Linked DNA regions of Saccharomyces cerevisiae S288C. The gene in region 2 interacts genetically with the main gene of each other region. Each region holds a gene or a part of one and is shown on either strand. Other genes may lie near its edges.

Region 1 (4,670 bases), on a different chromosome or scaffold from region 2:
TCCTTGAGAGAAGGATAATCCTTTATCAGTTGAGATGTTGTAACGCTTAAAACAGAACTACGAGGTATTTTAAACAATGTTTCATCCTTCTTAATCTTTTGAGTGGCAACTACTGCGCGGCCTTGATTATCACAACAAAGATCTTTGATTTCTATCTTAGGGGATACTTCAATTTCAGCGGTAGTTTTTAACCAGCAAACAAAGTTTTCGGTATCTCTTGAAAAATCATCCATTTTCGCAAACTTTCCCCTTTATTACTAGTCATATTGAAATGATCGTATTAAGCTTTTACAAAGGTAATGAAATTTTTTCATACTCGAGAGAAAAATATGTGACACATGTGTGTATTACCCGCAGTAACTCTCGAAGATTACATTTGAATAATATCAATACTTCCAGACCAATAGCTTTATTGTATTGCCAGGGCACTTGGTACATGTAACATTCATCCAGTTTATTTGATACCAAAAATCTTTTATTTTAATTCTTCTATTTACAAAAGAGAAATGTGTATGTTTATATATGTATTTTCTTGGGAATTTATTATTCATAAACCGCTTGTGCAGTTACTTTTCAGCTTCCTCTTCAACAACTTCGCCTTCTTCATGATTTGGTAGCACGACAAGCTTAGTATCTTTAACCACCACTCTAACAGTTTCGCCGTTTCTAATTTGACCTTTTAATAAGAAAGTTGCCATGGAGTTCAAAATCTGTCTATGAATTAATCTATTCAATGGCCTTGCACCATATAATTGATCGTAGCCTTTGTCAGTTAGCCAATCCTTCGCTTCATCAGTTAAATCAATTTTCATTCTTTTTTCGGCCAAACGATCTTGAATTTCTGCAATTCTAATATCAACAATTGACCTCAAAACTTTCTTGGATAGCCTATTGAAAACTAGAATATCATCAATACGATTGATGAACTCAGGTGGATAGGATCTTTTCATTGCTTCGATAACTTTATTCTTGGTTGCGGTGTCAATCTTACCATCATCACCCAACTTTGTGTCGTTTAATAAAATATCTTGTCCAATGTTTGAGGTCATCACAATGATCGTGTTACGGAAATCAACATGATGGCCTAGGGAATCGGTCAGCTTACCTTCATCCAACACTTGCAACAGTAGTTTGGAAACATCGGGGTGCGCTTTTTCAAATTCATCAAATAAAACGACAGCATAAGGCTTTCTTCTGACAGCCTCAGTTAATTGGCCACCAGATTCGCTTAAGACGTAACCTGGAGGTGCACCGATTAAACGAGAGACAGTATGCTTCTCTTGAAATTCTGACATGTCAAAACGAATCACATTTGATTCGTCATCAAATAGGAATTCAGCTAAAGCCTTGGTCAATTCTGTTTTACCAGTACCAGTAGGACCTAAGAACATAAAGCTGGCAATAGGTCTCTTTTCACTGGTCAAACCAGCCCTTTGAAGACGTACAGCATCAGAAATAGCAGCAATGGCCTCGTCTTGGCCAACGACTCTTTCTTTTAAAGAATTTTCCATATACAGTAGGCGGTCCTTGTCGCCTTTCATCACCGTTTCTGTAGGAATACCAGTCATTTTGGCAACAACCTTAGAAATATCGTCAGAAGTAACTGAATCATGAAGTAAATTTACTTTATCTCCGTCCTTACTCTTCTCGCTTAAAGCTACCTTCTTCTCCAAGTCAGGAATTCTGGAATATCGCAACTCGGATGCTTTAGTGTAATCACCCTCTCTCTGACACTTTTCCAACTCAATTCTTGCTTGTTCCAAATTTGCCTTAGCATTTTTGATAGATTCAATTTCAGCTCTTTCAGCGTCCCATATTTTTGTTAATCTGTTTAATTCATCATTTTTCATTTCTAGGTCCTTTTCCAACGCTTCTCTTCTTTCCACGGAAACAGGGTCGGTCTCTTTCTTTAAAGATTCCAGTTCTATTTGTATTTTCATAATAGCACGATCCAGTTTCTGTATTTCATCCGGTTTGGATTCATGTTGTAAACGTAGTACAGCACAAGCTTCGTCAACTAGATCAATGGCTTTATCAGGTAGAAACCTGTCTGTTATATAACGATTTGAAAGAACTGCAGCAGACACTAAAGCTGTATCAGTGATCCTTACACCATGATGAACCTCGTACCTTTCTTTTAAACCTCTTAGTATAGAAATCGTATCGGAGACGCTCGGCTCATTCAATAAGATAGGCTGAAACCTTCTCGATAAAGCCGGATCTTTTTCAATGATTTTGAATTCATCAAGAGTGGTTGCAGAGATACAACGTAGCCCACGGGCCAGTTTTGGCTTTAAGATGTTAGAAGCATCCATACTACCATCAGTTTTACCTAAGCCAAGCAGCATATGAACTTCATCAATGAAAACAATAACCTTACCATTGGCCTTGTCAATTTCTTCTAAAACCTTTTTTAAACGTTCTTCGAATTCACCTCTATATTTGGCGCCAGCAATCAAAGATCCCAAATCCAAAGCTACTAGATCTTTATCTTTCAACGAGTCAGGGACCTCCCCAGCAACAATTCTTTGAGCTAACCCATCAATAAGGGCGGTTTTACCGACACCAGCTCGACCGATCAAACATGGATTATTTTTTGTTCTTCTTGATAAAATTTGAATAGCTCTTGCGATTTCTTCGTCTCTGCCAATGACAGGGTCTAATTTACCGTCGCGCGCTAATTTTGTCAAGTTTGTACCAAATTGTTCTAAAGCTGGCTTTTCCGGTTGCTGATTGGGATCCATCCTCATTTGGACGTACGTTCTTTTGAAATTGGGCAATCCATATGAGCTCTTGAGGGCGCAGGTTGAAATAGCGACTTCATTTAATGCATTTGTTTTTATATCTGATAGAAGTTTATTGGCTACTCGAGGTCTTGCATTAAAACTGCAAATAGATCTTTTACACTGTACAATAGTGTATATTCGTGGAGTACTTCGCCTTAATAGTTGCGTTCTCTGTAAATATTTTTGTATTGGTGCTTTTGTAGCTTGTCTTAACATATTTAACCTTGAAAGATTTTCACTCGCTTGTTTCAGGGTTCCTGGAATAGATAATAGAAGTCAAACTTTTCATGCTTACATATGCATATATATGTATATATATGTGTGTGCGTGAGTCAGTAACTAGGGGGTTTGATGAGCTTAGATACAATGAATCACAGGGGTTTATTCAAAAAAAAAAGTCCGTGCACCCCCTATTCAAACGCGATGCCATTAGATGAAAGAACACTTCTAGAACATTCTGGAAAATAACAAATTTTATCAGAACAGAATCACACCTTGATTTGTCTGTTACATTAATTATTAAAATTTATATGACCTATAAGGCCAAAGCAAAAAGTTGATCTTCCAGTACTAGAGATCAATATCTGCTCCCTATTTATTGTATTACGTGGCACTATCCGAGTGTCTCCCTACTATTTCCTCCAGGGATCTTATTTTTTTTTTTAGTTGCTCTATTTCATCTCGTTGTTCTTGTTCCTTTCTTTTAGTATTTTCAATATCCTCGATCATTCGTATATATTCAGCGTGGAAGCGTTTATTCTCAAGTTTTAGGTTTTCATTTTCATTTCTTGACATGTTGTGTTCATTTTTTATTATACTATTCTCATTCTTCAACATGTTGTTTTCGTTACATAAGACATCATACTCACTTCTTAACATAGTAATTGCATTCCTTATAGCTTCATGCTGAGCTATTAAAATGTTGTTGTCATTTCTTAATGAATCGTTTAATGATTTGAAGTTATTATTTTCTGCTAGTAAATCGTCAAATATCTTTGATTTTTGTTCGAGATTCTTGATGTATTTTTCTTTCCTTTGTCTAAATGCCTTTTGAGCGGTTCTATTTTGAGCAGCTCTTCTAGTATTTCTTAAAGTTTTGCCTGAACTACTTATGAGTTGGGTGTCTTTATCAGGAACAGGTTTGGTTACATTATCATTATTATCATTATTATCAGCTGAATTTTTAGCGGTATCAGCACTGTTTTGAAAAGAAGGAGGTGCAGTAGTAACACTGGTATTGCGAGATGGGAGGGTTGATAGTTGCTCCTCTGCAATATACTCCTTATTCAAAGATATGCTCTGGTTCGGAAGTCCATTTGGTAAAGGGGGATTTATTTGATAAGGTGCATAAGATATGGAATAACTTTTAGGGGGGAATACCACGGAAGGTTGAATACTAACATGAGCATTTTGAGGTCTGTTGTAAGAAGCTGATTGTTTTCTTTCATTTGAATGCGGAGGGATGATATAAGATGGATGTATAGGACTTTGATGCATCGATCTATAGTCAGACGGACCAGATAGATGCATCAAGTTTGGCAAAGGAGGCTGGATAGGATTGCTGTTAACAGATATGTCGGTGTCCCCATTAGTGGTTGTAGGATTTATTCTATAAGGTAACTTTTGGGACGTGCTGGGCTGTGCAATTTGCGGAGAAGGATGCTCATTTAGATTCTTCTCAGAGGCATTATAAGTAGCCATTGAGCTGCTTCCCTGATTATACATATCGGGACGAATCAACGGAGGGTTTTGCATTTGTCCCTTAGCACTCTTCGTTATTCTGTTGTTTATTGAAATTTCTAGACAAAAGTATATGCTATCGGATTCACGATTGGTGGGGAAAAAAACTCGGTGTTACAGTTTGAGGAAAGATTGTGTTTAATA
Region 2 (3,600 bases):
CTTCAAATAAAAATGAACGTAAAACAAGTAAAAATGTAGGATGTTATAGTATCAACTAGCTGCCGGAATAGTGCAAATTGTATGAATCGAAATAAGTACGCTAGCCAAGGCAGTAAGGCCTAATGCCCTTAGGCAAATTTATTATTTATATTAAGTTCCAAGAAGGGGAAGCGCCTTCTTTCCCCGCAGTACAGTATTTTACCCGGAGGTTCTTAATAAGTTATTACTAAAAGGGTCATAACGGATTTATTAATAATGGGATTATAAAAATAATGCGTGTGTACCTAGTTATCGCGTGATAGCTTCCGCAATTTTCCAACCATTAGTAAATTTTATGTAACTAAAACGAGGAAGGAAATAGTAACGTTCATTTTCTTAATTATAAATATCATTATCATAGTGTATGGTTAAAAGAATATATTATTGTATTAAATAAGTGCTAAATACTAAATGGTCATGAGGAAAGAAAAATATGCAGAGGGGTGTAAAAGTAGGATGTAATCCAACTATAGTTTGCTTTCAATGTTTTTGACCAATTCCTTGTATTTCTCAGTAGAATAGGACTTTGGCCTTTCAATGGAAGCACCGATGGCCCTATCAGTGATCAATTGAGCAAGAATACCAAATGCCCTTGAAACGCCAAATAAAACGGTATAGAAAGAAGATTCTTTTAGTCCATAATATTGTAATAAGACACCAGAGTGAGCATCTACATTTGGCCATGGATTTTTGGTTTTACCATGTTCAGTCAATACGCCAGGTGCTACCTCGTATATTGATGAAACTAACTTGAATAATTCATAATCTGGAAAATGGTCCATGGCAAACTTACGCTGAGCCATATAACGAGGATCAGTTTTCCTTAGCACAGCATGACCATAACCGGGAATGACTCTTCCTGAGTTTAGAGTATCCCATAAATATTTTTCGATCGTATCTTTAGAGTAGTCATCATTTACCTCTTCTTTAAGTGCAAATAACCATTCTAGTACTTCTTGATTAGCACGCCCATGAAGTGGGCCAGCCAACCCGTTCAAACCTGATGCAAGGGACAGATAAGGTGATGATAGTGCTGAGCCCACAAGATGGGATGTATGTGCAGATACATTACCACCTTCGTGATCCGAATGAATGGTTAAATAAAGTCTCATCAAGTCCACGAAATCTTCATCCTTAGAACCAATCAAGTTGACCAGATTTTTAGCATAATCGGCATTTGGGTCCACTTCACCCATTTTGCCATCTTTGAATACATTACGATAAATTTTAGCTGCAATAACTGGCAATTTACCCAGCAAGTCTAGTGAATCTTCAAAAGTATAACTCCAATAATCTTGCTTGGAAATTCCTTGAGCATAAGCCTTAGCAAACTTTGACTCGCTTTCCAAGGCAGTTACAGCAATAGAGAATTGAGCCATTGGGTGTAAGTCCTTTGGTAAATTATCCAAAAGTTGAACGACATGACTAGGTAGTTCCGATCTTGACATTAGATCAGCTGATAAGTTTTCAACTTGCGCTTGAGTTGGAACCTCGCCAGTTAGCAATAACCAAAAGAGAGCTTCTGGTAGTGGTTGTGAGCTTCCTTTTGCCTTGGGCAGGTCCTTTTGAATGTCGGCGATCGTACGACCTCTGAAACGAATACCGTCTTCTGGGTCCAAAACGGAACCTTCCCATACGCTCCCTGGAATACCTCTCATACCACCATATACCTGTTCTAATAGAACATCGCTAATTTTAGTTTTGCCATGCTCTTTAACGAATTGCCTTACATCTTGAGCATGGATGGGGTAGATTTCGCTAAATCTCTCTTTTAGAGTCTTTTCTTGGCTTGAATTTGATTGTAAATATGATGCAACATTTCTGTTTGAATTTAGATAAGGAACTGTCATTTTTCTTGTTACTAGTATTATTAAAACAAAAAGTTTTGAGAACCTGTTATGATATGTGTTGATATTGTTCCCTGAAACTTAATAATGAGGAACGAACACCATATCTAAAGAACCAAGTTTTAATAGTCTTATATACGCTCAACGTCGAGAATAATGGGCCCTTTTGAGAGCATGACTATCTTTAGATTAACGTCACCAATTTCATACGAATGTAACGCTCAAAAGGTAATTGCGCTTACCATTGTTATTGTTTTTCCGCTGTGCCTCCCATTGCTGACGCCCTGATAGACGTCTAGCTACGGAAAAGGTCACACTTTTTTTCTGCAAGAAAAAATAGGTCGTGACCTCTTCGCCCCTAGTCGATGACCACCGGATAAATGCGTCGAATGTGCGCGCTATTAGTTTGCGCTCTTTTGAGATACCGCCAAGCCATTGATTGAATGACCCAAGGACGGATTTGTTCAACACTCCAAAGCGGCTTATGTTGTGGCAACAACTCTGGGGAAAGTCAGCGCAATGTTTTCCCCTAAGGATTCGCGCGAGCCGTGTGTAACAAAGTTCCGCCGGTATAGCATATCTAAACCACAGAAGGACGCTTATACGGCCGTCTTCCACAGTAATTAGAAGGACATTAGTCGGAGTGTAAATAAGACGGTTGCATACGCGTATGAACATGGGCCATTCATTTTACGGAAATGGCAACACATTTTCTTGTTTTTAATGTAAATAGTACGGAGTTCCTTTTTGGTGCGCTGAATGTATGCCGTAGTTTGGTTTCTTGCCAGGCGTGAGAAGAGAGGTCACACATGCTGTTGGGGTTCATGATTTTCAGCCTTCGCTCTGCTAAGTAAAAGGTCCATTGATCCGAAGCGCTTCCTCCAATATCGCAGTGATAAACGGTCATGTAAGCCTACAGTCTTTAAACTGTAGATGATTTAATGGATTATCTCATACATTGAATATCACACTTCAGCAGTTCAAGTTTTCATTAACATTGGTCTTCTCCAGCTTACTCTGTAAAGTCCGCTGCAGTTTTCTAGAAATCATAATCTGTACCTCCATTCAGCCATCTGAGGAACCTCCGAAATAACGAGTAAATGTTCAAACATGCCATGCGCCTTGGTTTATTGTACGAGTTTTAGCATATTGCAAAAAAAAACTGCTCCTGAGTACACTTGTTTTACGTCGGAAAGATAAATGCCGTACCATTTCTGCCAGTAGCGACACCACACATTGTAAAAACAATGTGGGGCGAGCCGGGACTCGAACCCGGGACCTCCCGCACCCTAAGCGAGAATCATACCTCTAGACCACACGCCCTCCTTTGAAAAATCCCGGCAGAACAGCGCCTGAAGTCTGGGATACAGCCCTATTTTCCCTGCCATCGTCATTGACCTTTTTCTTAACGACCAGATTAACAGCCAGTTATTGAAAGTTTGCGAACGTGAAGTAAAACTGCAAAATGGTCGTTTTAAGTCAAAAGTAACCCTGCGTCACACATGAGAAACATTATCGCTAAGTTGTTGTTACTACTTCTTGTAATTAACTTACTGTCGCATTCCAAATGGACTGCGAAACAGACACGAAACAATTACGAAAGTGACGACAGAGTAAATATTGTCATTAAAGAGAATGATGACCTCCGGGTAAACTGTGAGAATAAGTCTAGACCATTCGTTAAACTTCATCTTTAATTGAGAAGCATAGTAAA
Region 3 (4,883 bases), on a different chromosome or scaffold from region 2:
ACCTAGACGTGAACTCAAAATAAATCTACCATTAACTGAGCACAAAAGCCCTAATCTAAGTTTAATGCTCGAAAGTCCTAACTATTGTAACGCACTCATTCACATCAAGTTTTCAGCTGGTACGGAAGCCAACGCAGTGTCCTTTGACACAACATTTTCTGATTTTAAAGAAGTAGAGGACTTCCTACATTTTATTGTCGCTGAGTACATCCAGCAAAAGAAGGTGTAATATCCTGAGTCACTCCTTAAACCTACATACATTGCCATAGAATGCCATTTATTACTATATAAAGTCGCATACGTACAAAAGGACAAGATCTTATCTTCGAAAACAAGAATATGAAGGATTTAATAACATTGCCAGGTTAAGAACGGTGTAACAACAATAGAAGTAACACAACACCAATAGCAAACAAACCAACTACAGATATGACTTACACATTGGCAATTTTAGGCTGCGGTGTTATGGGCCAAGCACTTCTTTCCGCCATTTATAATGCTCCAAAGGCGGCTGATGAAACTGCTGCTGCATTTTACCCTTCCAAAATTATCACATGTAACCATGATGAACCTAGTGCACAACAAGTTACCGATCTAGTTGAGACATTCGACGAATCTCCTAACGGTATTAAAGTCGAAAGCACTTACGGTCACAACGTGAGCGCTGTCGAAGAAGCTTCTGTAGTTCTTCTTGGTACCAAGCCATTTTTGGCCGAAGAAGTGTTGAATGGTGTGAAGAGCGTCATTGGGGGAAAGCTACTTATTTCCCTGGCTGCTGGCTGGACAATTGACCAATTGAGTCAATACACTAGCACTGTTTGCCGTGTTATGACGAACACACCTGCCAAGTACGGATATGGTTGTGCGGTGGTGTCCTACTCAGCTGATGTTTCCAAAGAGCAAAAGCCACTGGTCAACGAATTGATTAGCCAAGTTGGTAAATACGTTGAGCTTCCAGAAAAGAACATGGATGCTGCTACGGCTTTAGTCGGTTCAGGCCCCGCTTTTGTTCTCTTGATGTTAGAATCCTTGATGGAGAGTGGGTTGAAATTGGGAATCCCATTACAAGAGAGTAAGGAGTGTGCCATGAAAGTTCTAGAAGGAACAGTGAAGATGGTTGAGAAAAGCGGTGCTCATCCATCCGTTTTAAAGCATCAAGTTTGCACACCAGGTGGTACAACTATTGCCGGGTTGTGCGTAATGGAAGAAAAGGGCGTCAAGAGCGGTATTATCAATGGTGTTGAAGAGGCAGCCCGTGTTGCGTCACAATTAGGCCAAAAGAAGAAATAGATTGCTTTGCGTGAAATGTATGTATGTTCGCTTTGTAGCCGTATATTATTTTTTTATTACTGACCTTGCATTTTTTCGTCATTTTCCCGTCGGTCCGATAATGAATCATCACGATGAATGACTACCCCATAATAATGACACTAATTGGAGCGTATAAAAGAAAAAAATTATATAAATGTGTTTGTAATGAGTAAGAGCAATTGATTCATTTGAAATGAAAATCAAAAATCAAAATTAAAATAAAACTAAGCAACCATGTCAAGCGGCAGTACTATTGTTTCGTCTGACAAGTCGGGGCGAACATTTAAGCATGAGGAAGAACTACCCAAGTTACCATTACCTAAACTCTGTGACACTTTGCAGCGTCTGAAGGAGAGTTTAGAGCCATTGTATTATGCTGATGGTTACTATCAACATCCTTTAGATCCAGAACAAATTGAGAAGCTGTCATCCATAATAAGAGATTTTGAAGAGAATCCCGTAAGTGAGAAGCTGCAATCTAAACTACAGAGCTACCATGACACTAGGGATTGCTACCTTGATGAATTACACTTAGACATCAATAACCAGACCTCCACTAGGGAGATTCAGGACGATGTCCTACCCAGGAATCCCTTCTTGGTTCTCGCAGATGACGCTTTGCCAAACATCACTCAAGCTGATAGGTCAGCCGTCCTAGTGCACTCTGCGGCCAGGTTTATTTCTGCTTTGAAACAAGATTTGTTGCCACCAGATATCAATGCCACCAATGGCAAACCACTGTCAATGGCTCCATTTCTGAACTTGTTCGGTACTACTCGTAGTCCTGTTTTTCAGCGCGGTGAGGTTGAAAATTTTGATTTGAACAAACCTTACACAGCATCTGATTTAGAAGACCCTGATTATTCAAGCGATGAGGACGATAACGACGAACCCACCCAAAAAGACTTTGATGACCGTAAAAGAAAACACGAAGAAGACATATTCACTGGCAATGGTATAACTATAAAAAGACATCCGGATAGCAAACACATCTTGATCATCTCCAGGGGCCAATACTATACACTGGAAGTACTTGATTCGACGAATAAAATTATATACACTGCTGCAGAATTAACCACAATTTTCAACCATATAATAAAAGATTCTTCTGGCATTGAAAAATCAACTGCGTTAGGTAGTTTGACCTCTCACTCTTTTAGAAACTGGAAATATGCAAGGAAGAGACTACAGAAAAGGTATCCTAATGAATTACATCGCATAGACTCTGCTCTGTTCGTGTTAGTGCTGGACGAATCACAAGAAGAAACTACCAATGATGGCGATGATACCGCTGATATCAGTCAAATGTTTAACAGGACTATCACTGAGCGAGACAAGAAATGTACTTCCGCCAATTGTAAGAGAGTGTTTTACGGTACTTCTATAATAAATAGCAAAGGCCATCAAGTGGGTTCATGTGTTTCTCGTTGGTATGATAAATTACAGTTAGTTGTCACTGCAGATGCAAAAGCCACAGTGATTTGGGATTCCTTCACATGTGACGGGTCAGTCGTGCTTCGGTTTACTTCTGAAATTTATACAGAATCAGTCTTGAGATTAGCTAGAGACGTTAACGCCGGTGACCCACAGTTTTCACTCTGGCCTAACGTGACACAAATGGATCCTGAAACTAAAAAACTGATGACGGCGACCATAAGTGCCGACGGCGGAGGCCCTTCTGAAATTGACCCTAAGTTGGTTGTAAATAAAATCGATTGGTCTTTCAGTAACATCCTGAACACACATGTCCATTTGTCAGAAACCAAACTAGCTGATCTGATTTCCAAGTATGATATTGTTCGCGCTTCTATTCCATTGGGCAGAAGGTCAGCTCAAAGATTAGGAGTCAAGCCCGATTCGATGGTTCAAGTAGCTTTACAAATAGCTCACTATGCTTTGTATGGAAGAATGGTGTTTGGATTAGAACCAGTATCCACACGTGGTTTCAAAAACTCGAGATCATCTTTTATTAACATTCAAAGTCAAGCGCTGTTGGAACTATGTCAATTGTTTATTTCTAGCTCCATTGATGGGACAGATAAATTAGACAAATTTATCCAAACCTGCGAAACACATAATAACATGGTTAAACATGCAAAGTCTGGGGTAGGTTATGAAAAACACTTCAATGCATTGAAATATCTCTTCAAATTTCATGACCATTTTGGTATCCACTTAAGTGGTGATGAATCATCTGCTGCGAAAGATCTTTTCGAAAATCCACTTGTTTTACCTTTCTCACAGCCTGAGTTGATTGTTGCCAACTGTGGTAATGCTGCTACCACGACATTTGGTATAACTCCTGCTGTACCTCATGGCTTTGGAATAGGGTACATCATTAAAGATGATCAAGTAGATTTGACCGTGACATCGCAATTTCGACAGGGTGACAGGTTAATGTTTATGTTAAGTTGGGTGTTAGGCGAAATTCGTTCCTACTGGAGGATGTCACGCGGCACTTCTCATAATAAAACTGGCGTGAAGATCAGTCCAGTGGTCGATAAATTGTATGAAATGGACAATGCAGTCAATAATCCTCCGAAACGTAACGGCCATACAGTCAATGGCTCCCGCAAAACATCTTCTTCATCACAGGTAAATTTGAACAGGTATGGCGGGTTTTTCGATTTGGAAGGCCACATTGACAGTAGGAATATATCTAAAACACCATCGATGAAGAATTTGCAGAAAACCTTCAATGGCTTGACCATGAGCGCAGACAATGATCATTCAAGTTCCGCAGTTTCCGTTCCCACAGAAAAGGAAAAATTAAATACAGGCCATGAAATTTTACAGATCCAACCGCGGGAAGTGGCAAGTAATGGGTTGGAAGCAGATGATGAGACAGATATTGAAATAGTTGCTGGCAATGCTGATGGCACATCCTCTTCGGCATCTTCAGCTACATCTCTAAATTCCAAGAAACGTAACGTCATCAACTCAAGATTCGATATTGATTTTGACCGCAGTCGTGTGGGTAGAAAGGTGGCGACCTTAGATCAATAAGAACGCTCTTTGTTTATCTATTTATTACTAGCATTATGCGTAAGCTTGGCGTGATGTGATATATACTTGTTATATGAAGTATATCAATATGCTTTAATTTATGCTTATTATTTGCTCTCATGTCAGTAACCCGGACCAGATTTGCCATTGAAAAAATTTTCATAGAATAGCCCGATGCTGATCATCAGTACAAAAGACAGAGATTTCATCTCGACCTGTACCAGGAGCTAAGCAAAGAGGGCGGAAAGAGCGTAATACACCGTTAACATCGCGCATTAGAGGTAGACATGAGTGACTTACAAGACCAAGAACCTAGCATTATTATCAACGGTAATTTGGAACCAGTTGGTGAACCAGATATCGTTGAAGAAACGGAAGTTGTAGCTCAAGAAACACAAGAAACACAAGATGCTGATAAGCCAAAGAAGAAAGTCGCCTTCACTGGCTTGGAAGAAGACGGGGAAACTGAAGAAGAAAAAAGGAAAAGGGAATTTGAAGAAGGTGGTGGTTTGCCCGAACAACCATTAAACCCTGATTTTTCAAAATTAAACCCACTATCCGCCGAA
Region 4 (3,072 bases), on a different chromosome or scaffold from region 2:
TAAACTTTCAGACTGATTCTTTCCAGTTACGAAGGTAGGAGTACAATATGCATACATAACGCAGCGATTTACAAGATATGTTCCTCGGGTCTATGTTTTGACCTCTTTTAACGGCATATGAAAAAACCTTTGAAAAAATGAAATATTATATAAAGGTCCAGAACCCACAGTGGTACTAAAAGGCCCACTTAAGTCTCACACCTAATTAAACACCTTTGCATAAACGGTAGCTGAAGAACAACAGGCATGACCGCAATAGTGAAATGTTAGCTACTATTTCCTCTATAAAAGAAGTACGAATGTAATTAAATAAATTGTTCCTGACCAAGCACATCTGTAAAGGAAAAGCAGATTGCTAGCCAACTTTGGTGACTCAAATATTTATGAAGTTGGTCTGCTCTCTGCCGAAAGTCTATTAGGTATATGCTGTTCCAGTACCCCAAGGAACAAGGTCTGATAAATATGCTAGTTGAATTCCAAATATTTTCAAAATCAGGATTTCTTATCCAGTTATTCGACCACGGGTGGATAATGAACAGGTACCTTGTCTTTCTCCATAACCTTTGAGTTTTTATAAGATAAGTAAGTGTTCCAAAATATTGCAACGACATTAACAGCTAGTAACCTATGTTGTAAAGGAACAACAGAAAAGTTAATCGCTTGGAAAAGTGGCCAAACTGCCCAATTAGTCAAAAGTGTAGGCCACCATTGCTCTTTTATTTTCAACTTAGCTACGTCAAATGATCTACCTTCCATGATGGACATACAGGTGAAATAAAATGGCAAACCTAGCGGCGCAAACGCCAATTGATCGACAGCTACCCGTAAAACCATATTAGACCAGTGGTACTGAGGTCTGTTACGCATATAAATCTTGTTGTTCAAGATCTTGTACCACTTGTCACCTATAAAGGAGAAAATTAAAGAACCATAGATGACAGCCCTAGCTGTCCTTTTATAATCATAACCCTTGTTTACTTTGGATGTTGGAAACAACAATTGAGCAGAAACATCACCAATTCCAAATAGCGCACCTGTCATTATCGCATTCGTAGTTTTGGGCCTTCTCTTCAAGCTCGCTTCATATAAATGCAATAACTTCATACTGTTTTAATATCAATTCTATCTTTCCTATAGTAATAACAAAAGACTGTGTTTGCCTTTTCCCTTTTGTAAGGCTAAATATGACAACATAGCATTCAAATAGCTCTTCTATCATATCACTATCATAGATATTTCCATTTTTTTTTTTTTTTCACTTTGTACTTATACTGTTAAAGTTCGACATTTAAGGGACAAGGAGGTGCCACTGTTTCCCGAAACGCTTCTTGTTACCATCGGAGAGAAAAGACCAATACATACGTAATTAGAACATAGAAAATAGAACGTTTAAAGTAGATAGTTAATCACAAAGGAGAGGCATCACAACGATGCGATGGTAAAAATATATTTTAAGTGCTTTGATTACTTACTACATGCTAATTGACTACATACATAGTGTCTTGAATATTTTCTCAGTCTCAACTATTCATCTTGACCAAGTCCATTAAAAAATTCCATTTTTGAATTTCTCGGGAATATTTTTCAGCTCTATTCTAGACTCTAGTTCGTCATCAGTTATTACAGTAGCTCTAGAAGCGCCTCTTTGAATTTCTTCTTCATGTTCAATTTCATGTTCATGATGAAGCAATTCATGTTCTATGTCTTCTTTGTGAACGACTTTAACGTCTGGATCTTTGTCCTTATGAAACTTATTCCAGTGATGAATTTCATATTCTAGCTCAAAATCGGAGTGGTGACCTACACCAACGCCAAGGTCAGGGAACTTGTTTCCTCTCTTAGCAAATTGTAGATATTCCTCCTTGGTGATTTTGGTATTATCATCAACATCCAATAACCTCATAATAAGGCTAACAACACGCTTAGCCATTTCATTGTCAATTTTCTCAGATTCATCGTGTTGTCCCATACCATCACCAGCCCCCACAATTTCTTCACGGTTCAACCCGTAGAGAGATAGAATATCGTTTTCATCTAAAAATCCTTTCTTCTTGATATCATGTAACGCGAAGAAAGTCTCTGGAGTGTAATCTTTTAGCTGATGCTCATGGTCCATATGCCACTCCTCCCAGGATAAACCATCAGGTGGTGCCTCATTTTCCACATTAATTTCAGATCCTATTTCTGCCGTGGCAGTTACTTTATATAGAGTGAAAGCCAAAGAAAATACAAATCCCCTCAAAAACCTCATTTCCACAATTTTAATAGAACAGGGATGAAAAAATTTTAGGTCTTGGCTCTTTTATCTTTTCTAGAAGGAATATAATATTACGCTCAATCATGTTTTAAAGCTTCCTAGTCTATGATCCGTCACCTATTTTTATTCTTCCAAAAAAATATTTTCGTTACCCTCTTACCGAAAAGGGTATGAGGCAATGCTCAATTTGCCTGAGCTTAAGAATGTATGAAAAAAAAAGATGTCTGACTAATGGAACGCTTTTTCTTTTAAATAATGCCTTTCTTTATAATAAGGAAGTTGCGTCTATATTTTACCAAAATAAACAATATTACAAAAACATAGAAATTAAAATATACATAAATTATTGATCAATAAAAATCTTAAAGAAAACTGTGAAAGCAGTGATCAAAAAGATTAGAATTCTTCGTCAGAAGAAACGTAAGCATCACCCAATTCCTTCTTCTTCTTCATTCTTTCCTTCTTCTTCTTTCTCAATTCCGCAGAAGACAACTTCTTCTTCTTCTTACCACCGGCAATCTTGTTACCCATAGCATCGAATTTATCTTCTTCGTCTTCCTTCTTTTCGATTCTTGGACCAGCACCTTGACCACTAACCCAGTTGTGACCAGATGGAGTCATTCTACCGTCCTTGACGGCCCAGACTTCTTCAGTCAAGTTCTTTGTGAATTCAGCAGAGTGAGTAATGATAATAACACCACCTTCAAATTCCTTCAAAGCCTTAGACAAAGCACCCAAAGAATCTCTGTCCAGATAGTTGGTAGGTTCATCTAAGACAATCAAGTGAGGTCTTTGCCATGTACCGGCAGCTAAGA

What was found.
Region 1: mutations in CIT2 (region 2) and HSP78 impair growth when combined (synthetic growth defect), as found in Saccharomyces cerevisiae (one study listed by BioGRID).
Region 3: mutations in CIT2 (region 2) and YAT2 impair growth when combined (synthetic growth defect), as found in Saccharomyces cerevisiae (one study listed by BioGRID).
Region 4: mutations in CIT2 (region 2) and SYM1 impair growth when combined (synthetic growth defect), as found in Saccharomyces cerevisiae (one study listed by BioGRID).

Annotation. Positions count from the first base shown.
Region 1 is NC_001136.10:971,242-975,911, forward strand, and holds HSP78 (chaperone ATPase HSP78), read right to left. Parts: upstream 3,003-4,670; coding exon 567-3,002; downstream 1-566. Other genes in the region: RKM4 (ribosomal lysine N-methyltransferase), read right to left, coding at 1-233; YAP6 (Yap6p), read right to left, coding at 3,390-4,541. UniProt on the Saccharomyces cerevisiae protein: Required, in concert with mitochondrial Hsp70 (SSC1), for the dissociation, resolubilization and refolding of aggregates of damaged proteins in the mitochondrial matrix after heat stress.
Region 2 is NC_001135.5:120,440-124,039, forward strand, and holds CIT2 (citrate (Si)-synthase CIT2), read right to left. Parts: upstream 1,890-3,600; coding exon 507-1,889; downstream 1-506. Other genes in the region: YCR006C (uncharacterized protein), read right to left, coding at 2,091-2,564. UniProt on the Saccharomyces cerevisiae protein: Peroxisomal citrate synthase involved in the citrate homeostasis. Catalyzes the condensation of acetyl coenzyme A and oxaloacetate to form citrate. Citrate synthase is the rate-limiting enzyme of the tricarboxylic acid (TCA) cycle.
Region 3 is NC_001137.3:200,647-205,529, forward strand, and holds YAT2 (carnitine O-acetyltransferase YAT2), read left to right. Parts: upstream 1-1,545; coding exon 1,546-4,317; downstream 4,318-4,883. Other genes in the region: SRB4 (Srb4p), read left to right, coding at 1-229; PRO3 (pyrroline-5-carboxylate reductase), read left to right, coding at 430-1,290; GCD11 (translation initiation factor eIF2 subunit gamma), read left to right, coding at 4,605-4,883. UniProt on the Saccharomyces cerevisiae protein: Carnitine O-acetyltransferase involved in the shutteling of acetyl-CoA in the cell.
Region 4 is NC_001144.5:639,496-642,567, reverse strand, and holds SYM1 (ethanol metabolism protein), read right to left. Parts: upstream 1,105-3,072; coding exon 511-1,104; downstream 1-510. Other genes in the region: nucleobindin SSP120, read right to left, coding at 1,547-2,251; YEF3 (translation elongation factor EF-3), read right to left, coding at 2,654-3,072. UniProt on the Saccharomyces cerevisiae protein: May be involved in cellular response to stress. Required to maintain mitochondrial DNA (mtDNA) integrity and stability. Required for ethanol metabolism and tolerance during heat shock.